Cricetulus griseus: one gene and its partner. The protein of the gene in region 1 purifies or fractionates together with the protein of each later gene. This does not show direct contact. Links are inferred from orthologs where the notes say so. Each region holds a gene or a part of one and is shown on either strand. Other genes may lie near its edges.

Evidence for each region.
Region 2: the proteins of Ppp2r2b (region 1) and Iqgap1 purify together in Homo sapiens (co-immunoprecipitation; 3 studies listed by BioGRID and IntAct, with this or other methods). This does not show direct contact. The link is inferred for Cricetulus griseus from reciprocal best matches to the Homo sapiens genes PPP2R2B and IQGAP1.

The regions. Positions count from the first base shown.
Region 1 is NC_048595.1:195,204,045-195,207,605, reverse strand, and holds part of Ppp2r2b (serine/threonine-protein phosphatase 2A 55 kDa regulatory subunit B beta isoform), read right to left. Parts: intron 3,507-3,561; coding exon 3,409-3,506; intron 413-3,408; coding exon 247-412; intron 1-246. UniProt on the Homo sapiens protein: The B regulatory subunit might modulate substrate selectivity and catalytic activity, and might also direct the localization of the catalytic enzyme to a particular subcellular compartment.
Region 2 is NC_048596.1:116,792,407-116,796,640, forward strand, and holds the start of Iqgap1 (ras GTPase-activating-like protein IQGAP1), read left to right. Parts: upstream 1-1,410; 5' UTR 1,411-1,522; coding exon 1,523-1,577; intron 1,578-4,070; coding exon 4,071-4,170; intron 4,171-4,234. UniProt on the Homo sapiens protein: Plays a crucial role in regulating the dynamics and assembly of the actin cytoskeleton.

The DNA of each region.
Region 1 (3,561 bases):
GGAAACTGCAGATAACAGGTTCCACAAAAACTGGGTCATAAATTCGCTGTTTATAAAAAGAATAGCTACTATTTACTGAGTCCAGCTCTGTATGCACTCTGAATTTTGCTAGGCATCTTACAAACAGGGTTTCTAAGTTTTTCACAAGCCCACAAGGGATGGAGGAACATTGAGGCTAAGGGAGACTTAGAGGTCTAGTCTCTGAAAATATCAAACAGGAAAAAGAAAAAAAGAACCTGCACATACCGTTGGTAGACAGAAGAAAGTAGGCTGCATTCTGCTGAGGGAGCCATCTTATCTTATTGATTTTTTCTTCTATCTCTAAGCTCTTCAGGTAATCGAACTCGGGTTCATGGCTCTGGAATGTGCTGTAAACATTGTATTCACCCCTACGATGAACCTGGTTTTTACTCTGTAGGGTGGTAAAACACACACAGAAAATGAAACCATTTAAAGCAAGTGCCAACTCTGTTTTCCCTTTAAGTGAAGCCAGTAGGGGTGGGCTGGCAGGCTACATCACAGTGTGGGGAGGCCAAGATCATTGCAGCCATAGATTCAGCTTAGTTTACTGGTCCCCAAAGCATGCACTCTGTTGGTTAGAAACACACACACACACACACACACACACACACACACACACACACACACACACACACACGTAAATTATATATTTAAATTATATTAACACAAAGTGTAAATAATATATATATTATATATATATATATATATATAATATATATGTATATATGGTGTGGTGGCATACATCTTTAATCCCAGCACTCAGGAGGCAGAGGCAGGTGGATCTCTATGAGTTCAAGGCAGCCTGGCCTACAAGGAGAGTTCCAGGCAGCCAGGGCTATACAGAGAAACCCTGTCAAAAAAAGAAGGAGGAGGAGGAGAAGAAAGAGAAAATGAAAAGAAACAAGTTAAAATAGGGCAAGACTTTGAAGCCAATACAAATAGAAGGTCTAATATTCAAATCTTTGTGTAGTTCAGGAAATGCTGAATGGTCCATTCCAGGGTGATGCTCACACATGATTATATCAATTCCTATGAAAGGTGCAAAAGCTGTAGCAAATGCAACTTTCAATCCTCATGGACTCTGAGATGTAGGAGAAGCTGGGAGATAGACCCTGGAGGCTCAGAGACATAAGTGACTCTTCCAAGGTCATATAGCACTTATGAGCAGACTTGGACATCAGTTCCTCCCACCTCCACTTTTATCCAGTATAGTGATGAAAGGGCCATCTGCACATGAGTGCCATCTGTATCACAAGGAGAATGATGGGCTTTACCTATGTCTTTCCCATGGCACTAATTATGCAAAGTGCAAACAGCAGGAACTAAATAAATGATGAGACACTGGAGCACAAAGCCAAGGGCCTGAAGTTATGGAAAAAGGTGAAGAGGAAGAAAAAGCTTCTTGCAGAGACAAAGATAAAAAGAGAGAAGAGGGAAGATTGTATTTGCAGGTATTTCAGAACCATGTTACCCAAAGTCGTGAGAATTGGCTTTGAAATTTTGTTCAAAAATTAAAATTTGGGTTTCACTAAACATATTTTAAATCAAAGTTTGACTTTTTAAAGAAAAGGCTCAATTAAAACTCTAGGGTCTCAGATGGACACAGGACACTGGAAGGCATGTTGCAGTTTGTCCACAAGTGGCTACATCTGCTGAGACTGGAGTGGGTAGACACTGAGGACTGAGGTCCTTCAGAGCAGTTTTTCTGGGAGTGAGAATACTATTAAAGAGTCACTGGCCCCAAATGATATCACATGACTTTTGTGAGGCAAGCCATGTAGGCATCTGAGCCCCAAATTTTGGAGAAGCTAACACTGAACTACTTGATCCTCATCCTCACTGATGTTTCTGTCCCAGTGAAGCCACCTCTACTGCTTTGGAAGGTGTGCCCCCATCATTCTCCTACTGAGTCAGGCTTCCCAAACCTCCCAGTAAATGAAAATAGGTGAAACCTATATATAGCTAGCAGAAAATGTGGGGTGGAATATTACTGGCAACATGCAGCCTTGGGTAATTTATGCTAAATAGCTCCTCCAGTTCCCCTTAATCATAGCTGTGAACCTAATTGGATTTTTTTTTTTAAAATTGGAGACTTGAAAATCAGTTTTCAAAGGACTTCAGATGCCGACATCTTTGACACTCTCCTGCTTACTCACAGAGGACCGGTCCACCTTAACAAAAAATGTCTAAGAGGGCTGATTTGCTACCATCCAAATCAGACTGTCAAGTGTGTATACCATGTGCCAGACCAATTAGCACCAGGCAGCCCTGGAAAAAGCAGGAAAAATTCCAGGTCACAAAGAGCGATTTAGTTCTTACTTGCCAACTACATTTTCATATTTCAGGGGCCAATGCAATAGGCTGGGTGCCTGATTTAATGCCGAGCTCTTGAATTTACACAGAACCCCGAGGGATTATGAAACCCTTATAGAAATTAATTGCAAATAATGTGCAATTACCAAATATATCACCCCTAAATGAGGTTTTCCTCTTTTGAGGGGGAGGTATAATGCAAATGGCTTGGAGGCACAAAGCGGGCATTAAATTGCTTGGGAAGTCTCTTGTGGAGACTTCCTCTTAACACTGGGCCTCCCCCACACCTCCCCAGTGCCCAGTGGATCTCAGAGGAAGACAGTGGCAGATGGGCGAGTAGCTAGAATACAGACTACCCTGCTGGAGGGGCTACAGTGTGCCAGGAGAGGCCAAGGAAACCAAATCGGGCCATGATTCCATTCCGAGAAAACAGAAACAGGCCTGGGAGGGGAAGTATCCTCAATTTATGTGGAAAAGAGATGGTTTCTAGTGGAAACCAAGCCCCAGGAAGAAACCAGCCATAGACATGGGCATGATATAACACACCCAGCTCCCAGGACACACACTAACATGTGTCTGCGGGGCCAAGAAGCCCTTTTGGAGGATTTCACCCCTTTGGCAGGTTGAATATCAATTTCTTCTCTATTGACCCAACATGCCCTCTTTACTACCGTTGTCAAATGAAGCTATTTTCCTCTCCTATATGAATTCTGCAGTACCTGAAATGAAGGAAGCCTGAATTTCAACACCAGGATAGATCCCAAGACAACAGCTGGAGTTTGCTCCTCCACAGGCACCTGTGGAATTTTGCAGGTCAGATGAGAACAGCTGCTGTTTCCCAGTGTTCACCATACAGAAGGATTAGGCTCTGCCAGGGGAGAACCCTCTTTGAGGTGCTTTTGTGGGCTTGAACTTAGAACTGCTATGGATGCTAATGACTTTTTGGCAGTTTTATGTGGTGAGCAAAGTGGCAGGCAAGGTTAAGGGCGACAGACACGTGGGGATTAAGGCACAGTGGGAGGCCTCCTCTCAAAAAGGGAAGAAAATGAGAATTTCCAATTGGCTGACACTTACCTCCTGTTCTCGCTGAAATATTACAACCCGACCCCCCTTGTCCCCTGTCGCTAGTAACTCTCCCGTGTGGTTGAATTCTACCGTAGAGATAATGTCAGCTGAAAAGAAAAAAGACAAAAGCAATTTAAGTAAGCGCACACTTACTTTGAAAGG
Region 2 (4,234 bases), on another chromosome or scaffold:
GAACTGCACGAATCACATACCTGGAACTACACAAAAGAAACTTCATTCTAACACAGGAAGACACCTGTCCCCTTGTCCCACATGACCTATTTATTAATCTACAGGTGTTTCTCTACTTGCCATTAAGTAATTGAAGGAATTAAAATCAAAATTAAAAATAGTTTTGTAGATTATTTTAAATGCTTGAAGGTACAGAATTAGCAAAAAAAAAAAAAAAACCACTCTGTTTTGTGTTTTGGAAAGAACAAAAGATGTTAGTCGGTAATTGTGACAATCTGGTTGGCAGAAGTGAGATTAGAGATGATGATAATCTAAACATGTCATCATAAACGAGGACAGAAACAAAAACTAGACGCTTCAGAAATAGAGGCAAGCCAAGAACCTGGGTGTGTGTGACTGAATACTTACAGAGAATGAGGCAGGAACAGGATCAATGGCTGACTGTGAAACTTTTAATGTCTGTGGGAGACAGCTGAAAGTGCGGATTAGATAGCTTGAAATTACCAAGGGGCTTCCAGATGGTGTGGGTTGTAAGTAGAGACCACCTGAGGTTTATGGTGAGCATAAGATTACTGGAGATGAGGCTTTTACTTATGATAATTATTAACTGGAGGCAGTATCTTACTCTGTTACGCAGGCTGGCCTCGAGCTCATGGTGATCCTTCTGCCTCAGCCTCCCAAGTGTGGGATGATTACAGGCTTGCGCCACCATGTTGGGCAAGCTACTGAGAAAAACCAGTAAGGGCTGAAGAGAGAATTCGGTCAAATACCGACACTTTGAAAGCACATCACAAGAGCAAGAAGAGGCATCCTTAACAGGGTCAAGATACCCCTTAAGAGCGTGCGTGCAAAGAGCATGCAGTGTAAAGTTAATCTGATCAACAGCTCTCCTGCTTCAGCATCTTTGTCCCCCAAATTTAAGAGACTTAGCGATACCGCTGGAGAAAACGGAGCCCGGATAGACAAAAATGTGGCAGAGAGTAGGGGTGACAGTCTTTCCTGTCAGTTTGGGTCCTATTTGCGTCCAACAAGAGCACCCTGGGCCACCTGAAAGGGCTCCTTCAATGAGCCGCGGTGCAGAGGGAGTTAACTCAGCTGTCAGAGGAAGGTAGGCACGCGGCCGAACAAGTTTGGATTTCAAATTGGATTTCAAACTGCGGACACTGGCGGCCTTTCAGTCTGAGCAGCGGATAGGACGACAGCAAAGGAGTGCAGAGGCAACGGGCCAAGCTTGCCTACTGCGCCCCGCCTCCTCGCTTCCGCAACTGGAGGGCGAAGCGGGCAGGGGCGGATCCTGCAAAAGGGACCACGCCCTTCCGCCCGCTCGGGGGAGCCCGACTGGGCGGGGTCTGCGGGGCGGGGCCTGCAGGGTGGGGCCGATGGCGCGGGGTGGGGCTGATGGCGCGGGGCGGGGCCTCGGGGACCGCGACAGCCCGCGCACAGGGCAGGAGTTGCCGCTGCTACTGCCGTCCGCGTCTTCAAGGTCTCAGCGCTTCCTCACCGGAGAACGGACTCCGCCGCCATGTCCGCCGCGGAGGAGGTTGATGGGCTGGGTGTGGTCCGGCCGCACTATGGCTGTGAGTACCGGGGGCTTGGGGTGCGTGGGCGACGGGCTAGGCTCGGGTTTTCCCGGGGGCTCAGCCGGGCGGGTGCGCGGAGTGGCCTGGGACTGCACGGACCCGGAAGAGCAGCCCAGCTGTGTGGTGGCTAGCAGCAAGGTTGGCGCCCGAGCCCTCTAGAGCTCCGGAGGTGGCGGGTAGGAACCTGCAGGCCTCAGCCTTCGCCAGGAGCTGCGGCAGGGGAGCCCCACCCAGCGCCTCCGCCGCTTAGCTCTACTGAGATTGGGGAAGACGGCCTGGGGTGAGGTGGCAGGAGGACTGTGCAGGGCGTGTCCTGGGCACTGGACCCGGGGGTGGTGTGCTGCCCCGATTGCTGCCTGCGAGGGTGAACCAAGGTGTAGACCCGCGTGGCCAGACTAGCTGCGAGGTGCAGTTTTGGGCAAGCCACTTAAACTTCCTCGGGCTGGGTTCTCTAATCAGCATTTCAAAGGTAAAATTAAAAAAACACACACAGACCCAAATAATCACCCCCCCCACTTCCTCATTTTCCGTGGTCATCAGTGAACTAACCAACTGTACGTGGGATAGTTGTTACGAGAGGATCCCTTTGGGCAGGTTCAGATTTTGTTTGATGTTCTGGGAAAAGTGCATTCTTAAGGGTTACTTTAACGTATCCATAGTTATGTGTGAGATAGTGTGCCATGCTTGTGAAATTAGAGATGAATAAGACCATGTAATGCCTTCAAAAACTGTCGGAGACAGGTGTACAAAAGATTGATAATGAGATGAAGGGTTGGGAATTCAATCTAGTGGTAGGGCGCTTGCCTACCAAGTGCAAGGCCTTGGGTTGGGTCCTTAGCTCCAGGGCAGAAAGGTAATACGGGGCAATAAAGATACATGATGCATGAACTAACTAGGTATAAAGAGTAATGGTGGTGAAGAGAGGGACTTAGGGAGGCCATGGGAACACAGACTGGAAAGATGCTGTGTAGGGCATGACATGACTTTGAGAGGCAGACTAAACTAAATATGGTATTGAAGACTACAGGGATAGTCCGTGTGTGGAAGAATCAGAATGGGGTGGTGTGGAGTGGTGGGAATGGAAGGGAAAGAAGGGGAAGAGCTAGAATGGCTTTGATTGCTTTTCTAGGGGGTTAGGAATTCATTTCACACCTTGGGGTGCTTATGGAGGAGGCAGATTGCTTCAAGGTTTAGCCCACAGGCCCTGGAGACAGGTGGATTTGAATGTAGGTCCCTTTATTAGCCCTGAGGCTGAGTTCATGGGGCTTCAATTTCCTCCTCTGTCAAATAGTGGTAACCACAGGATTGTTCTGGGCTGTAGTGAGAGAATGTATGTAAAATGTTTAGTCTCATAGCTGCCCACTTTAGCTCAGAATAAAGAGGGGCGAGAGAGTATGATACCCTTTATTTTAGTTCTGACCAATAAGGACAGACCTTAGTTGGCACCTTCTGAGGCTACAAGAAAATGTAGTAATATACATTTAAAACATTTAAAAATTTGATTCCTTGAGATTTCCATACATATAAAAAAGTAAAATATGATTATACCTATCTCCCATCTCTCCCCTTCAATAATTTATCTGAGACAGGATCTCACTGTATAACTGTAGGTGGCCTAAATTTGTTGCTTAAGACAGTCTGACTTTGGACTCAAGAGATCTGCCTGCCTCTGCCTCCCAAGTGCTGGGATTTCAGGCTTGTGCTGCCACTCCTGGCTCTTTTTCTTTTTTAATTTTTTTTTATGTGTATGGGTGATTTGTTGTCTACGTGTATGATGTCTGTATACCAAGTATGTACCTGATGCCTGCAGATCCCAGAAGAAAATGTCTGATCCCCTGGAACTCCAGTTATAACCTGTTGTAAGCCTTCATGTAGATGTGGGGAATTGAACCCAGGTCCTTTGCAAGAGCAGCCAATCCTCTTAACTGAGGCTGAGCCATCTCTTAAGCCTTTAAAAAAATAATGATAGAAAACCCCCAACTAGGTCCAATTAGTGATGCTCCTATATGTGTGGGTATCGGATTGTCCACTGGAGCTTGGGCAGCTTACCAGTGACCACCTTCCCATATCACACATAATTTTGCATGTATGTATGGTGTCCTTGGAGGTCAGAAACAGGGCATTGGATCCCCTTGAATTAGAATTACAGATGCTTGTGAGCAGCCATGTGGGTGCTAGGAACCCAGGTCTTCAAGAGCAACGAGTGCTCTTAACTGCTGAATCATCTCTGCAGCCCTTTGCCATATATACATATATACATACACACACACACACACACACACACACACACACACGCACGCACGCACACAGGGTATATGAGTATAGTTGAAACCATATGGGTTTGTTTTTAGGAAAGTCATTTGTAGTACACCTGGCTACCCACATATCCACTAGTTAGCCTGCTTTTCTAGGTGACAGGCAGCAATTTGGTGGCTATGGCTGAGGAAAGGTACAGGTCTTGGCCTTTATGCTCTTTCCTTCTCATCTTAGCTGTGCTGGACAATGAGAGGCTCACTGCAGAGGAGATGGATGAAAGGAGACGGCAGAACGTGGCTTACGAGTATCTTTGTCATCTGGAAGAAGCAAAGAGGTAAAGGTGGACTAATGAAGGGAACTGATACGGTTTTTAAGATTTGTTTTTATTTATGTGTTTG